Linked DNA regions of Mus musculus: region 2 is reported to be linked to region 1. Evidence: microRNA targets listed by miRTarBase, many of them from high-throughput screens and not tested one by one. Region 1 holds a microRNA gene; the other region holds the end of a gene's coding sequence. Distances are between the middles of the regions.
Evidence for each region. The annotated mature microRNA mmu-miR-343 reads UCUCCCUUCAUGUGCCCAGA and lies in region 1 at 3,306-3,325, opposite strand. An mRNA with a match to its seed (bases 2 to 7 or 8) in the 3' UTR can be bound and repressed. Matches are read on the target gene's strand: a 7mer-m8 pairs with bases 2 to 8, a 7mer-A1 pairs with bases 2 to 7 and ends in A, and an 8mer does both.

Region 1 (7,763 bases):
AGCAGTGAGCTGTGGCTTCATACATGGTCCCGCAGGTAGCCAAGCCCGCCATTCCCCAGGCACCTCTGTCCTCCAGGCTCTCACTCCTGTCCCCGCAGAGCAACCAGAGACATGTCATGGAACCCCAAGTTTGCCAGTTTCCACACTTCCCATGACCCCAGAAGGGTGTCATGCACTCTCCCAGGCTGAAGAGCAAGATTTGCCTGCTTTCCTCCCTCCCATTCCTCACCGTGCCTCTCTGCCACCAACACAGGCTAAGTAGAGGCAGGGAAGAGGGCCGCTCCTGAGGGAAGCAGCAATGGCTTTGGCAGTAAGAGGCTGGTAACCAGGTGGACCTGGCCTTGGGTGCCTTCCTGACTGGCTTTTTTTGTTGTTGTTGTTGGTTTTTTTCTGTTGCCAGCACAGGGTACCATGACTGGGATAACACTTCACAACCAAGGACAAGAAAAACAAGGATAGTTCATATTCCAGAGTCCCACTGTGAGACACCTGAGGGCCCCCTTGCCCTGAGCTGCTGTGCCAGCTTCCACTTGGCTGAATCCCTGCCCCAGAGGACAGTGCCATGGCTCCTTGCAGCACCGCTCCACTTCCCAGGGTCACCTGGAACCATCTTTGCTCCTCATTCTCCCCCAGGCTGTGACTCCGGGAAGGGGAGGATGAGGCTGTTTCAGTAGTGCTGGGCCTGGCCCCATTTGCTAACTGAACAAATGAATACATTCATGGGTTCTGTTTCACTTGGCAAAAATGATCGGGTCTTACGTGTCCAGCCCTTGCCAAGGACACAGCAGTGACCAACACAGCCTCAGTCCCACCCATAAGAGCTCCCTTGTACTAGGGGAGACAGCTATCCAGAGAGTAATGATCCCAGGCGCAGCTGGAATAGAGAAGGGGCAGGCCTCGCATAGGGTGGGCTGGGTGCCTTTCTGAAAGCTGAAGGACTCAGGCAGGTGATAGGAGGCGTAGACAAGGAGGCTTCTACCGATTGTGATGTTGTAGGTGGGGGAGGAGGAAGAGACAAAGGCCAAAGAAAGGGGCATGGTGAGTGCTGAAAGCTTAAGGAAGCAGGCAGCTGCCAACAGCCTGCAGTGGGGCTGATGGGGGGGGCCTCCTCCTTCCGAGGCCCAGGCTGGCCCAGCTGCAGGATGCCAGCTGACCTGGTTTCCTGGCTACGGCAGTAATCCCCAGGGATAAGCCTGAAAACTCAGTGTGGAGCTGGGGGGGTGGGGGGGTGGGGCAGCACACAACACATGGACAGAGGAAACATGACAGATGGACCCAAGTGACGGACCCAGAAGGTCCTGGGAGGCAGGCCTCTGTGGATCATCAGTCTGTATCTGCCTCCCTTGAGAGCTTCATGCCCAGCGCCATGCTTTTCCATCCTGGCCTCTTCCTCCCATAGTTCTCCCCAGCACACTCTCCTGTCCCCATTGTCCACAGTTCTGCATCTTCCTGCTACATGAACCTCGAAAGCAACAATCTCACCAAGTGCATCCCTTGCCCAGAACCTGCCATGGTTCCCTGGTGCCCTCAGTCACACACGAGGACTCCTCACCCCACTGATGGTGAGGTGACCCCTAGTGTCCTTCTGGTCAGTGCCACAGCACAGCCCACACACTTGTTCTCTGAACACGAGAATCTGACCACGAGGCTCCTCACTCAGGCACTCTGTATGGTCTTGCCCCCTGCTAATGCCCCACCCATGTGGCTGACCCCCAAGTCCTGCTGTCAGATCCCCAGTAGAAAGGCGAGCTCACCCTTGGCGTAAGTGCTGACGAGAGTGGCGAAGTTAGCAAGGAGTGTGAGCGGGGAGAAGTCGGCCAGGTCGGCAATCTCCAGGGTGTGCAGCAGGGAGCGCAGGCGTTCAGCACAGAACCTGAGAGGCAACGGGGTCAGGAGCGGGAAGCAGCAACAGGCCCGACTCTCACCATGTTTCCCTGGGCACCTGGGCATTGTGTGAAGCTACCCCATACTGTAGAAGACCCCCAGAGCTACCACTCCAGGCTGGAGCACAGCACATACAGTGCACAGGCTCACTGCTCACACGCAATATCCTGTTAAGACTCCCGGCTAGAGCCCGGCGTGGTGGCGCACGCCTTTAATCCCAGCACTCGGGAGGCAGAGGCAGGCGGATTTCTGAGTTCGAAGCCAGCCTGGTCTACAAAGTGAGTTCCAGGACAGCCAGGGCTACACAGAGAAACCCTGTCTCAAAAAACCAAACCAAAAAAAAAAAAAAAAAGACTCCCAGCTAGCAGTCACTCTGTTTCTGTCCAGCCAGTGTCACGGGCCCAACGCTCAAGGAGGAATAGCCACATACTTTCTTAGCCTCACAAAGGCTGTGTCACCTGCTCATCACCCAACATAGGGACACGTGGCTGCGGCACTCACTGCCAACCACACAGTCCAATGGATGCCCTCCACATCCAGTTCTGACCTGCCCCTTAGCCTTATCTATGGTCCAGACCCCTTTATCATCAGCAACAAGGCTTGGGCCCGTGGTTCCCCGTGCAGGCCGCACCTGAGGGGCTTGCGCTGGATGCACACCCGCTGGGCCAGGCCGCTCAGAAAGGCAGGTGGACTCTCCTGCACCACATGCTGCACGCGCAGACGCCACTTGACATACTCCAGCAGCCGCCGCAGAAAGCCCAGGAAGTGCTCAGCCGTACGGATGGAGCCAGGCACAGCCTCTGCAGGGAGACCCAGTCAGGTGGTACAGGGGTGCGTGTGCGGGGCAGGGGCTGGGTGGTGGGGGAGTGGGGAGTAGCTCACCCTGCAGCACCTCGTCCGGCAGCACAGGGTTGGCCAGGTGGGCATCTGTCTCCCGGGCCACACTGGCCTCCCGCAGGCCCTCCACCAGGCGCCGGTACTCATCCCGCAGCCGCTGCTCATCCGTCTCCTTGATCCTGATGGGGACATGGGACAGGAGCTGGAATGAGGCAGGTGCCCAGGGCACTGAGGCACACACAACAGTGGGAGCAGACAGGCACCTGAGCACGGTCTTCTGTAGGGTGTCTAAGTTGCTCTGGCAACGGTCCAGAGTCCTGCGGGTGAGGTTGACACTCATGGAGTCAATGCAGACATTGTCTGAGGAAAGAGCAAAGGGATGAAAGCCGGGCTCAGGCAGGCCTGGGGGCAGAGGCAGAGGGCTGCCACTGTCTGCACACCCTGATGCCCGCCCTCCTCACCGATGTTGTGAGCTTCATCGAAGACCACAACAGCCTTGCGAGCCAGCTCTTTGGATACCAGGTCTGCGATCTTGGGGTCCAGGAGGTAGTGGTAGCTGTAAACCACCACGTTGGCATGCAGGATCTGGGCACATGAAGGGAGAGGTTGCCCTGGGCTCTGCTACCCCCGCCACACCCACTCTATCCCAGGTACACAGAGGTGCCACAAAGACAGACACAACGACGGGTGGAAAGATGGACAGGACTGTTAGCCTTTTGTCTAAGCTCCACCTCACAGTTACACGGCAATAGCCAGGTGTGCCTGAATCACTATAAAAGGGGCTTCTTGCCCCCCCCCCCTTGCTTTCTTGCTTTGCTCTGCCTTCCTGCCCCTGCTCTATCCTCTAGTCCCTTCCCCCATCTCTCTCCATGTGCTCATGGGCAACCCCCCCCTCCCTCCCTCCCCCGCCTTTCTCTGCCTCTACTATCCTCTTGACACCCTTCCCCATGCCCTGAATAAACCCTATTCTATACTATACTGTCGTGTGGTGGCTGGTCCCTCAGGGGTAAGGGACGCCTCAGCATGAGCCTGCAGAGGCACCCCTTTCCCCACACCTCCATAGAACATATCTCCCCCTTTATCTTTTTATAAACACATCAAGGACCACCCAGGCAAGGCACAAGAAAGCAGAGATACTAGGACGGAGACAGACGATCCAGACAACAGACATAAAGACGTAACAGCACAGAGTCAAGTAGACAGATGGGCCAGCAGAAGGATGGGCACGGTGGCTCATGCCTATACCCCTGACAGCTGAGAACCTGAGGCAGGGTTATTCCAAGTTTGAGGCCAGCTGGGCTACAAATGAGATCCTGCCTCATAAGGAAACAAAACAACTCTTCACCGAGTATCGAGCCAGGAAGTAGGGGCACCAGCCCTGGCGCTGCCCTAGGGCCTTCAGGTCATCCAGGTTGTAGATGCCCGCAGGGAGCGGCATCTGGCGTCCATGGATGTCAAATTCCTGGGGCAAGGCCAGAGGGTGGCAGGGTCAGGGAGAGCGGCTCTGGCGTGGCCCCCACCCTGCTCACCAGTTCTAGGCTCTTCCCTGTACCTCATAGAAGCGGCAGTGAGGCAGGCTGGCATCCTGCTGGTACTGTGCCCGCACATACGACGCCGTTAGGCTGTGACACTTCCCATCAACATCCTTCCCAAAGCGCAGTGGAGTCACCTGAGGGGGCGGGGTGTCAGGGGACAACATAAAACAGAGACAGGAAGTGGTGCATATCAGCTATTGTAACTTGGGTCTCCAAACTCAGACACCAGGAGTAGTACGTCAGCTAGGGTTTGGGGGCAGTGGAAACCTTCACCTGATTTGGTATTTGGTCTTTTGTTCGTTTGGTTTTTGGTGTTTAAAGACAGAGTTTCTCAGTATAATAGCCCTGGCTGTCCTGGACTCATTTTATAGATCAGGCTGGCCTTGAACTCACAGAGATCTGCCTGCCTCTGCCTCCCGAGTACTGGGATTAAAGGCATGCACCACCACAACTGGCTGATTTGCTATTTGCTAAAAGAACTTCCTGCAGTACTGTAAGTGTGGAGCATGGCTAAAATCATCCCATCAGAGCTGGACATGGCAGCAGGTGCCTGCAATCCCAGTCACTCCGACACTGAAGTAGGAGGAATACAAACACAGGTCAACCTGGGAACCTGGCAACCCACCAAACAAAAGGTGGAAAGGAGCTGGGGGCATAGCTCAGTGGTAGGGAGAGTGCTTGCTAGCACACACAAGGCTGTATGGACAATCCATATCACAGAGAACCAGCCAAGCAGAGGGCCAGCTGGATGGTTCAGTGAATGCGGATGTCTACCGCCAAGCCCGACAGCCTGATTTCAACCTGGGACCACACAGTGAAGAGAGAACAGACTCCCAAAGCTGTCCTCTGACCGCCACGTGCACACACATACACACAAACATGTAAGGTTTTAAAAAACAAGTGCCTCAATTTCTCTCCAAACAAACAAAAAAACCCCAAACAGAAAACAACGATCCCTGAGTGGCCTTTCTCTGCAAGCACTTGGCTCAGCAGGGCTTTGGTTCCCTGATGTGTGTGGGTTGTGGAATACCGGCATGAACATAATGGATACTGTCAGGCAGGACGTGAGGCTGTCATGAAATTATCTTATTTTGCCTGTATATAAAAATACCCAATCCTTTGAGTAAGCTACCATTTAGATTTTGACCTGTCACAGGTCAAATGTGTGAGTCTGAGGTGCCATGTGGAATGTAAGCAGTTTCTGATCCTGGTACAGGTGCTACCCTTAGCCATAAGGATGAGCATTGGCCTAACAACTGAGCAGCAAGCCCCACTCATACTGACAACGGGTTCCCTCTGGGGCTTGCATGGAGTGGCCCAGGGTGACAGCGCAGGGCTCACCTCGGGATGAATGCACAGGTTCTTTCTTGAGCTCAGAGCCAGTCCTAAGAACGGCAGCTTCTCGCCCTCCTGCTGCTCGTAGAAGCTGAGTAGCTTACGAAGCTCTTCTATGACCTGCTCAGATGATGGGAGCATTAGGTGGGGACCACAGGGCAAGCACAAGTCCTTGCCCACCGGGCTACCGAGGGCAGAGATGGGGGACCACCAAGGCCCAGGGGAGGGGGCAGAGCATGGGTCCCATCTGCATTGCCCACCTTCTCAATCTCTGGCACGGTCCGTGAGCAGTAGATAAGTTTGGTCACCTCCAGCGGATAAGCCTGTGGGTGACAGGGACCTCAGCCCCATCCAGCCCCACCCCTCAGCCCCCACTCCAGGCACTCAGAAGGCCACTCACCCGCTGATAGGCCACAATCAGGGCCAATAGGGACACTGTCTTCCCAGTGCCCGAGGGCATCTCCAGGACTCCATGACCCTGAAAATTGGGCACAGAAGTAGTAAGACACAGGCTCTCTGTCATCAACGTACGCTCTGGGGAACTCTCCTTGACATGCCACCACCCGGGAACAGCAAGGCAACACACACAGCAGTGGCATCGCTGTCAAGGCCCCAGGACTGATAGTCTCCGCTCCTCCTCTTCTGCTGGACTTTTAATTGTTAATTCTTATTCCTCACCCGCCTACCCCAAAGGATCTTGCTATGCAGGCCTAGTAGTTACTAAGAATCTCTGGCTGGCTTTGAACTTTTGGCAATCCTGTTGCCTCTACTTTGAGTACTGGGACTGCAGGCTGAACCCTATTTCTGTGGCCCTCTTACTGACACAGCTAATGAGTTTACTGAGCAGCAGACAGTAGGAACCTTTTACCTCTCAGGATCACAGCATTCTTGCTTCTAAGTAGCTCCATAAACCTTACTTGGAACAAGGTTGTGAGGGCTAATACATTGGTGGGCCAGCAATATGGCTTAGCGGGTAAAGGTGCTTGTGGCCAAGCCTGATCACCCGAGTTCAATCCCCAAGACATACACGGAAGGAAAGAACCAACTCTACCCTCACGTGCACACTGTAGCATGTATACACACATTGGAAATAAGTATACCTAAAAGAAAACTTTTTTTAAAAAGTTTGTGTTCAGGGCTGTTGAAATAGCTCAGCAGGTAAAGGCGATTGCTATCAAACCTAACAGCCTGAATTTGATCCCTAGAACCCACATAAAATGATAAGAAATCTGGGTGGTGTTGGCCTATGCCTTTAATCACAGCACTCAGGAGGCAGAGGCAGGTGGATCTTTTGGGACTTTGAGGCCTGCCTGGTCTATGAAACAAGTTCCAGGACAGCAAAAATCACACAGAGAAACCCTGTCTCAGAAAACACAACGAGGGACTGGAGAGATGGCTGAGCAGTTAAGAGCACTGGCTGCTTGCTCTTCCAGAGGTCCTGAGTTCAAATCCCAGCAACCACATGAAGGCTCACAACCATCTGTACAGCTACAGTGTACTCACATACATAAAACAAATAAATCTACAACAAAACAAAACCGAAATAGAAGTGGAAGGAAAAACCCAACTCCACAAAGTTGTCCTCTGACCTCCACATACGGAACCCCTTCTTCCCTCCACTATTGTCACTACCAGGAATACCTCCAGAGTTTTCCTATACATAGCCCTAGCTAGCCCGAAACTCACTATGAAACCCAGACTGTACTTCAAACTCGAGCAATCTGTCCTCAGCCACCCTGTCTCTAGAATTACAGGCATAATTGTAATTACTATCAGTCAGTTTATGCGGTGCCAGGATGGAACCCAGAGTTTCACCCCTGCTAGCTAGGCTAGCACCCTACCAACTGAGCGACATTCCTCGCCTTGTTATTTACAATTGTTGTTAGTACACGGTCTCGCTGTGTAGCCCCGGCTGGCCTCCAAAATCGCAGCGATGCTCCTGCCTGGGTCTTCCGGGTGCTGGGATAGCAAGGCCCGGGCCCCGACCAGGACGTTTGCCTGCCAGAGGCATCAGAATGCAAGGAGGGCAGCCTCGCCACCCACCTTGGCGTCCAGCGTGCGCTTGAGCTCCAGCATGTAGGAGAACTGCTCCGGGTAGATGTAGTCGTACGGGAAGTAGACCAGCAGCCCGTCCACGTTGAGCCTGGCGGCGGTGAGGCGTCGGTGCCCGGT
Region 2 (7,763 bases), 100 Mb from region 1:
GACACACATGAACCAGTGCATACACACAGGCACCAGGGAGCCCTGCTAGGATACCTACCAAAAATGTCAACAGTGGTGCACTTGGCTACAGATCAGACAACTGAGGGTCATTTTCATTGTCATCATTTTTTGCCTGTTTTCATCTTCTTGTTAGTGTGGTATTTGGAATGCAAATGCTCTGCAGCGCATGGTGACAGTAACAGCCATCAGAATGTCAAACCCAAGTGCTGAGAAGCTAACACTGAGTTTAAGAGGATGGTAACAGACCTGGCTACTTCAACCCACCCATGGGAAAGGGTTGGGGGTTCACAAGCATTTAAACACAATATTCCAGCCAAGGCAGTGGCCCGAAGCTGTGGTCCCCTCCACTCAAGAAGCTGGAATAGATGGATCACTCGAAACTCTTGAGTTTGAGACCAGCCTGGCAACACAGCAAGGTCCCATCTCAAAAAATAAATCAGTATTACGTCAAATCCTAAACAGGGTATCTAATAACAGTGTTTGGGCATCCTGTTATTTATGTTCTAGAACTAAAGTGCAGAGAGCCAATGTTATGTCACCATTTTACAGGCACTGAAAGTAACTGTTAAATGACTTTATAATGAAAGCATTAATTTGTCTGAATAGGGCATAGTGACTTTCAAACCCAGAGGGACTCAAATTCTAGTTATGTAATAATATTCTCCCAATTCTCCAGGGAAGTCTGAGATTTCATAGAGAAAAAGGATTCTGTTGTTCGGGGGGAACCACTGGATATTTACAAAGTGCAGTTTACTTTCATTTGCAGGAAATGAAGCCAAGTGCCCCAAATTGAACCATGAAAGCATGATGCACACTAATCATTAGGGAATGAAAATCAAACAGTATCGTCTCATACACACTCAGCGACTACTATCTAAAATATGTAAGTGCTGGCAATGATGTAGAAAAATTGGGACTCTTGTGCATTGTTGGTGGGAACATAAAATGTTTTCATCATTTTAGTTCCTTAAAAAACAAAACAAAACAAAACAAAAACCCTAGAACTAGAATGGATTACAAAATGACCCAGTAGTTCCACTTTGAGTATCTGTTCCCCCAAAATGAAAGCAGTCTTTAAGAAATACACATTCATATCCACAGCAGCATGGTGCACAACAGCTGAAATATGGACGCACTCTGAGTGTCTATCAGTGGAGAAATGGATAAGCAAACTGTGGTATGCCCATACAATGGAATAGCATTCAGTCTTAAAAAGGAAATGCTGGAGCATGCTATAAACATGGCTGCAACTTCAGATGCTAAGTGAAATAAACCAGTTTCTACACACACACAAACACACACAAACACATACACACACAAACACACACACACAAACACACACAAACACACACATACACACAAACACACAAACACACACATACACACACAAACACACATACACAAACACATACACAAACACACACACACAAACATACACACACAAACACACACACACACAAACACACACACACACAGAACACAAACACACACACACACACACAAACACACACACACACACACACACACACAAAACAGAAAACAAACACATTGTATCATTCTATATGCCCAAGGAACCTAAGGTACAGAGTTGGTTATTTAATAGGTGGAGTTTCCAGTTTGGCAAAATGCAGTGCTCTAGAGACAGATGAGGGAAAGACTGCACTATAGGACTACACCTAACCAACGACTGTTTGTCAATCTGTTACATGCATTTGACTACATAAAAATAGAAAGGGGAAAAGCAAATGATGACATTCCATTTCAGTGAGAACTGATAATTAAAAAAAAACAAAATTGGCTGCAGAAGGGGCTTAGTGGGAAGGAGCACTGGCTGCTGTCAAGAGGGCCTGGGCTCGGTTCCCCGCATCCACACGGCGGCTCACAATAAATCCTAACTCCAGTTCTGGGGCCAGGTACACATAAATCATGCAAGCAAGACACTCATACACACAAAATTAAAGTCTTTGAAATAGTAAAAACCAGCCGATGGAGTGGGGCATCCTGAACAGAAATCGGGGATAGGAAAAAGACTATTAGGAAAAGAAGCAAAACCCTAACAGCCTTGAACATGGGATGGGTCCGTCAGACAGTAGCACTAGGGCCAACTAGATGAGAACAAAGTCAGATATAACTCTAATTTTTACAAACCCAGAACTAGTCCCAAGTCAGTTTACTTTTAAAATAGTTCAAAATTAAGATACTACTTGAATTTTAGAATTCTTGCCTAGAAGGTAGACGGCACAATTACACAGAACAGAAAAAGTGAAATGGAAATGTGTATAGCTGCAGTCTGGATCGTTGTCTTAGTCAGGGTTTCTATTCCTGCACAAACATCAGGACCAAGAAGCAAGTTGGGGAGGAAAGGATTTATTCGGCTTACACTTCCACACTGCTGTTCATCACCAAAGGAAGTCAGGACTGGAACTCAAGCAGGTCAGAAAGCAGGAGCTGATGCAGAGGCCATGGAGGGATGTTACTCACTGGCTTGCTTCCACTGGCTTGCTCAGCTTGCTTTCTTATAGAACCCAAGACTAGCCGGGCATGGTGGCTCAAGCCTTTAATCCCAGCACTCGGGAGGCAGATTTCTGAGTTCGAGGCCAGCCTGGTCTACAGAGTGAGTTCCAGGACAGCCAGGGCTATACAGAGAACCCCTGTCTCAAAAAACCAAAAAAAAAAAAAAAGAAAGAAAAGAAAAGAAAAAAGAACACAAGACTACCAGCCCAGAGATGGTCCCACCCACAAGGGACCCTCCCACCTTGATCACTAATTGAGAAAATGCCCCCACAGTTGGATCTCATGGAGGCACATCCCCAGCTAAAGCTCCTTTCTCAGTGATAACTCCAGCCTGTGTCAAGTTGACACATAAAACCAGCCAGTACAATCGTTAATCATTGTTCTCAGCCATTTTTAGCCAATGATGCATTATCCATTTAGTTGCGAGACCTTAGAATCTCACGGTGTAGTACTGTTTAATTTCAGGGTGTATTATTCCCAGTTACATCACAAATCTCTCTTCAGGTGGATGCAATGTGAACTTCCTCCATTATGTTGTACTTGTGTGTGTGTGTGTGTGTGTGTGTGTGTGTGTATGCACGTACTCTCCCACATCCATGTGAGGGTACATGTGTGGGTCTGTGTGTGCTGTGGTACAAGGCTGACTTCTGGTAGCTTCTTCAATTGCACTCCACTTTATATACTGAGGCAGGTCTTTTCATGGAGCTTGGAGCTTGTGGTTTCAGATAAGCTGGGGAGCCACCTTGCTCCAGGGATGTTTGACTCCTACATGCTGGGGTTCCAAGCTCTCCAAGACTTCCTAGAGATCTAAATTCCAGTCCTTCTGCTTGCTTAACAAACCACCTCCTGCCAACTCTGATGTATCTTTGATACATGAGCTACAAGTTTGTGAGCAGCCCAACTTTGTGCTGTAGGGCCCACCGCCTGTCTTCTGTGCGATGTTAATGAAGACACAGCTTCAGGAGGAAGCTGGAAACACCAAAGTTTTACGTCTTTCCCAGCCCAGCTTATTTCCTGCTGTAAACTGGCTATACAAAACAAACAAACAACAAACAGAAAACTTGGGAAGGTGGGAAACACAGAAGTGGTTTTAATGACCTCGCCCGAGGGGGAGATGACTGGGGCATTGTGTCCTCGGCACTCTCAACACTCCAGGGGGTTTGAATGCAGGTGCAGGGGGCCAGGAATCCCAGGTGCAAGTCGTGTTTCCTCTCTGCACTCACCTTTAGGGTCAACTGGCAAGCCTGCTGGACCACAGGTGGAGCTCCTCTCGGCTTCTCGAACTTCACTGGGTTTAAGCCCTCGTGCCAGGAATGCTGCACACAAAGCAGCATTATTATACTTGCAGAGAAAAGGAGGCTTCCATGAGAGGTGGACCATTGCCACTTGGTAAACAACATCACCATCTAGTGGCCAAAGGTGACAACACACTAAGACGTCCCAGACCAGATAGGACATAGGAATACATCTGCATCTGGTTTCCAAGTCACAAAATGGCATTTTTAATAAACTGGTCTTCAAAGATCCTCTGATTTTCTTGAGAATTTGTCTTTAAAATGAATAAACACATGTGCTCTCTGTTTTTCTATGGTCTTTTTCCAATAGACCTCAACTTCAGAGACAGGAGGCGCTTTGAAGCCACCTGGCTCTGAATACCCCTCCCAGGATAAAACAGCAGCCCCTGATGACGCCAGGTAAAGAAGCAAGCTTCCACTGCAAAAGAAGTATGTTAGGGTTGCTGCATTCCTCTGTTCACTAGGCCACTGTCTGTACTTCATTTACCCAAAGTTCTGGGGAAAAAAATAAGAACACACCACACCACTAACAATTGTGCATCGACCCATGACCCCTTGTCTGACTACACAGTAACAGCGCAGGGCTGCTAAGGTGGGGCTCTCAAGGCTGCTCCTAATGAACATGCTGGCCTCTCTGCCCAGGTGTTGTAGTTTTCTGTGAGTAATGGTCACAGGTAATGAACACGTGGGTAACATACTGTGACTACCTCATTCACACTGTCACCGCTCTGACTGCTGGGTCTTTAGGTTCCGGACTAGTGTCCACAATGCTTACTGTTCTTGCTAATGAGGTCTCCTCTATCACTGTGTTTCTGGGTTTATTGGGAGCACTTTGGATTCTAGCAGGTGTCTGGTAATGGTCTTCAGCAAACATACTTACTCTCAGTTAAGGATCTAGGGATAAGCCAAGTTCTGGGAAGATGGCATTCAAGGAAGTGGAAGAAGGTGAATGTCTATTTAGGCTGAATCCTGTCAGTCAAAGCCACAGACTGCTTCAATCCTGAGGAATTAAGGAAGCTTAGGAAAACAAAGCTGTTTTGTGGCCAGAAGCAGGTACACTGACTGAGAGGCACTTCCTAGAGCACTATATCTGAGTAAGGCAGGCCATTCTAGGGGTGTCAAAATTCCCTGGGCTTCTGCACCACACCCAAGCTGAACCTTGCTTTCCTTCCAGGCTCAGCCTGAGTGTTTCACATCATGCTCCTACTGAGGGCATCCATGAAGCCAAAGCTGCAGAGTCTGAGAGAAGAACATGGTGCCAGAGTCATCTCCAAAAACGTTTATTAGCATGATTAAAAACATTTTTTGAATAGTAAGAGAAGGAGTTTCTAAACATGAAAGTTATCAATGGTTCTACTTTATAACCAATATTTGGAATTGAATGGACAGCTTTATTGCCAGTCTTCATTTATTAAAAACAATCCATTGATCGGTTCCATGACATCATGACTATTGCTTTGTCTGGGAATGAGTCCCTACAGCAATTAAGTATAAAAAATATCTTCCATCATAATTGGAGAGTGACCTGCATTGGAGCGTGATTCTGAGTAAAGAGTTGATTAAAAATACACAAAGAGTTGGGTTTTGTTTTTAAAAACACTCCCTTACACACTACAAAGAAAGAATTAGTATTTTGGCTTTTTAAATTCCTACATGATACTGAGAATGACAGTCCCCAGAGGTCCCCCTCACATCACTGGATGCATCTCCTCTTCTGGAGGGTCGGTTGCAGGGGTGACTCTGAGGACTTGGGCCTCCACGTGTTTATACTGGTCTGAGAACAAAGACAGCATCGTCCAGAACATAGTAGTCATTGTACATGTCGCCTTCACACAGGTATGGCAGTCTAGTGAAAGCTTCGACGACAAAGCCGGCTTTTCTGAACACCTCAGGCAGGCTATTCACTTGCTCTTCCCAATTCTGTCCCTTGATTTCCAGAATTTCTGATGGTTTCTCCCACTTGCCACCTACTAGAACAAATAAAAACATTAAGTTAAATTCTTGAACAATGACTCACTAAAAGAGGGAAGTACAGGGAGAGCTAGTGTTCCAGGCACTGATGCCCTGGGTGCACCATCTCTAAACAGCTCCACTCTCTTCAAAGCAAGTGGACAGAGCCTAGAAGGAGTGAGAGAACTTACCCAAAGTGATGCTCTCAGGCCGCCTGCATCCAGTGCTGTTCCCAGGCTGCCTTCATCCAGAGCCTACACTGACTGAGCTGCCTGTGTGGCTCAGAAACTAGTCAGTGAATACTGAATATGGGGTTCACTTGTATTTGAAAGGAGATTTGGACATACGAGATCACGTACACTTACTCAACTTCCTGTCTAGAAGTTGCCTGGCTTAAAATTAAAATAGGCTCATGAGAAATTTCTATCCACAGAAACACAAGTGCTTTTCAGGAGAAGCTGACCCATTTCCTAAGTCATCTGTCAATCCCTTCCAAGCCTATGGGCAGTAGGAGCCTGGGCTGTGGGAAGCAGGCCAGGTCTGTTCCCTGCAAGCCACACTCTGACTACAAACAGACAATGCCAAAAGTGCACTTAGGTGTGCTCTTAGAGGCTGTGGTGACATGCCACTAAATTCATAGTGAGGCTTCTGATGCAGCGTGTGATAGAGCACGGGGAAAGGGAAGAGTACACACGTTTCAGTGGCCAGCACTGCATTCTCTCCCTGTCAGGGGAGTTCGTTCTTGGAGGGCGGGGAAGCTGCTTTTCTGGGCTTCCTTGAAGCAGGGTACCGGTGCCACACCTTAGCCTGTTGCCAAGACTGGAATGAGCTGGTGACCCAGAATAAAACAAGGCTTTTTGCCAAGTGCAAGCACTAATATCAAGTGGCTAGGGAGGTGGGCTGATGAGTGGGTGCTAATGACAGAATTTGCAGCACGTAGTACCCATCATCAGACCAGTTTCCCAGTGTGACTCAAGCTCCTCTTGACCTGGAGTTCACATGGTTCTCCAGGCCTTCTGAGACTCCAGGAGCCACTTCAAGTCCTGTTAACAAGTCTCTTTTTGCTGATCAGCTGAGTTCCTGATACTTACAAAGAACCACTTGACTAGTAAAGGCTGGGGGAGAGGGGGTGCTGTGTGTGACTCAGACCCAAAGCAAGCACCAAGGGACATAGCCATTTTGCTTATCAACACCAAGAAATCTTTCAATGCAAGCCAGGCGCACAAGCTTAACAGCAGCTGTGTACCTTTTTACCATGCCGGATGCTCTGGTCACTCCCTGGGTTTTTCTCCCAGGACTACAGGAAACATGGCCTCTGCTGCTGCTGCTCACGTCTAACAGTTTCTGGCCCTGAGAGGCCCTCTGCAGTGGAGCACATCAGTAAGAGCACTCTAAAATGCCAGGCTCTGCTTGAGGAGTACTGACCTCCTGCAAGCTCCACAAAGAATATCAAATGCCCATGGCAGTTTCTAACATACACGCACGCTTAGACTGAAATCTCAACTCTAAATGGTGAAACTTATTACAAACCATTCTTACACAATTTCTAAAAGTTCCTGCTTGTGCTTCCTTAATATGAGTTCCTCTCTTTACTTCTTCCTTTCTGAAAGGAGAAAAGTGGAGAAGGCGGCACATGCAGCAGAGATGGGCCCCGTGAGTGCACGCAGGAGCCGCCTCCGGCCAGAGATCAGCCTGATCCTTTTCCAAGTCGGTAAGAAGGTCAAGCTTTCCTTTTCTCCAGCTCATTAAGTGACCGCTGCTTCTCGCCTTATCTGTGTACTTAAGCTCTTAGCACATAATTTAAGAAGGCAGCACTACAGTAAGTCGGGGGCTGGAGGAGGTCACTTCTCCCACAGAATTAGGTACTAAAGCATAGCTGAAGAAAGGTTTCCTACCGGCCCTTGGTTGTTGATGCTGCTTTGAGCACATCTCACCAGAGAGAATCTGTGACCACTTGTGCTAGTCACTCAGTCAATTCCCACA

Region 2: miRTarBase lists Mettl9 as a target of mmu-miR-343. Seed matches in the 3' UTR shown: 7mer-m8 at 5,430-5,436.

What each region holds. Positions count from the first base shown.
Region 1 is chr7:19,382,250-19,390,012 of GRCm38, reverse strand. It overlaps Mir343 (microRNA 343), which reads right to left and starts at 3,370; the gene lies at 3,296-3,370. Ercc2 (excision repair cross-complementing rodent repair deficiency, complementation group 2) reads right to left here. Exons shown (of 23, transcript NM_007949.5): 2 at 7,635-7,734; 3 at 5,992-6,069; 4 at 5,852-5,914; 5 at 5,598-5,711; 6 at 4,274-4,390; 7 at 4,067-4,183; 8 at 3,183-3,306; 9 at 2,985-3,081; 10 at 2,767-2,900; 11 at 2,516-2,684; 12 at 1,755-1,873.
Region 2 is chr7:121,074,167-121,081,929 of GRCm38, reverse strand. Mettl9 (methyltransferase like 9) reads right to left here. Exons shown (of 5, transcript NM_021554.2): 5 at 5,095-5,800. The coding sequence ends at 5,595. It overlaps Igsf6 (immunoglobulin superfamily, member 6), which reads left to right and starts at 7,400. Exons shown (of 6, transcript NM_030691.1): 1 at 7,400-7,491. The coding sequence starts at 7,425.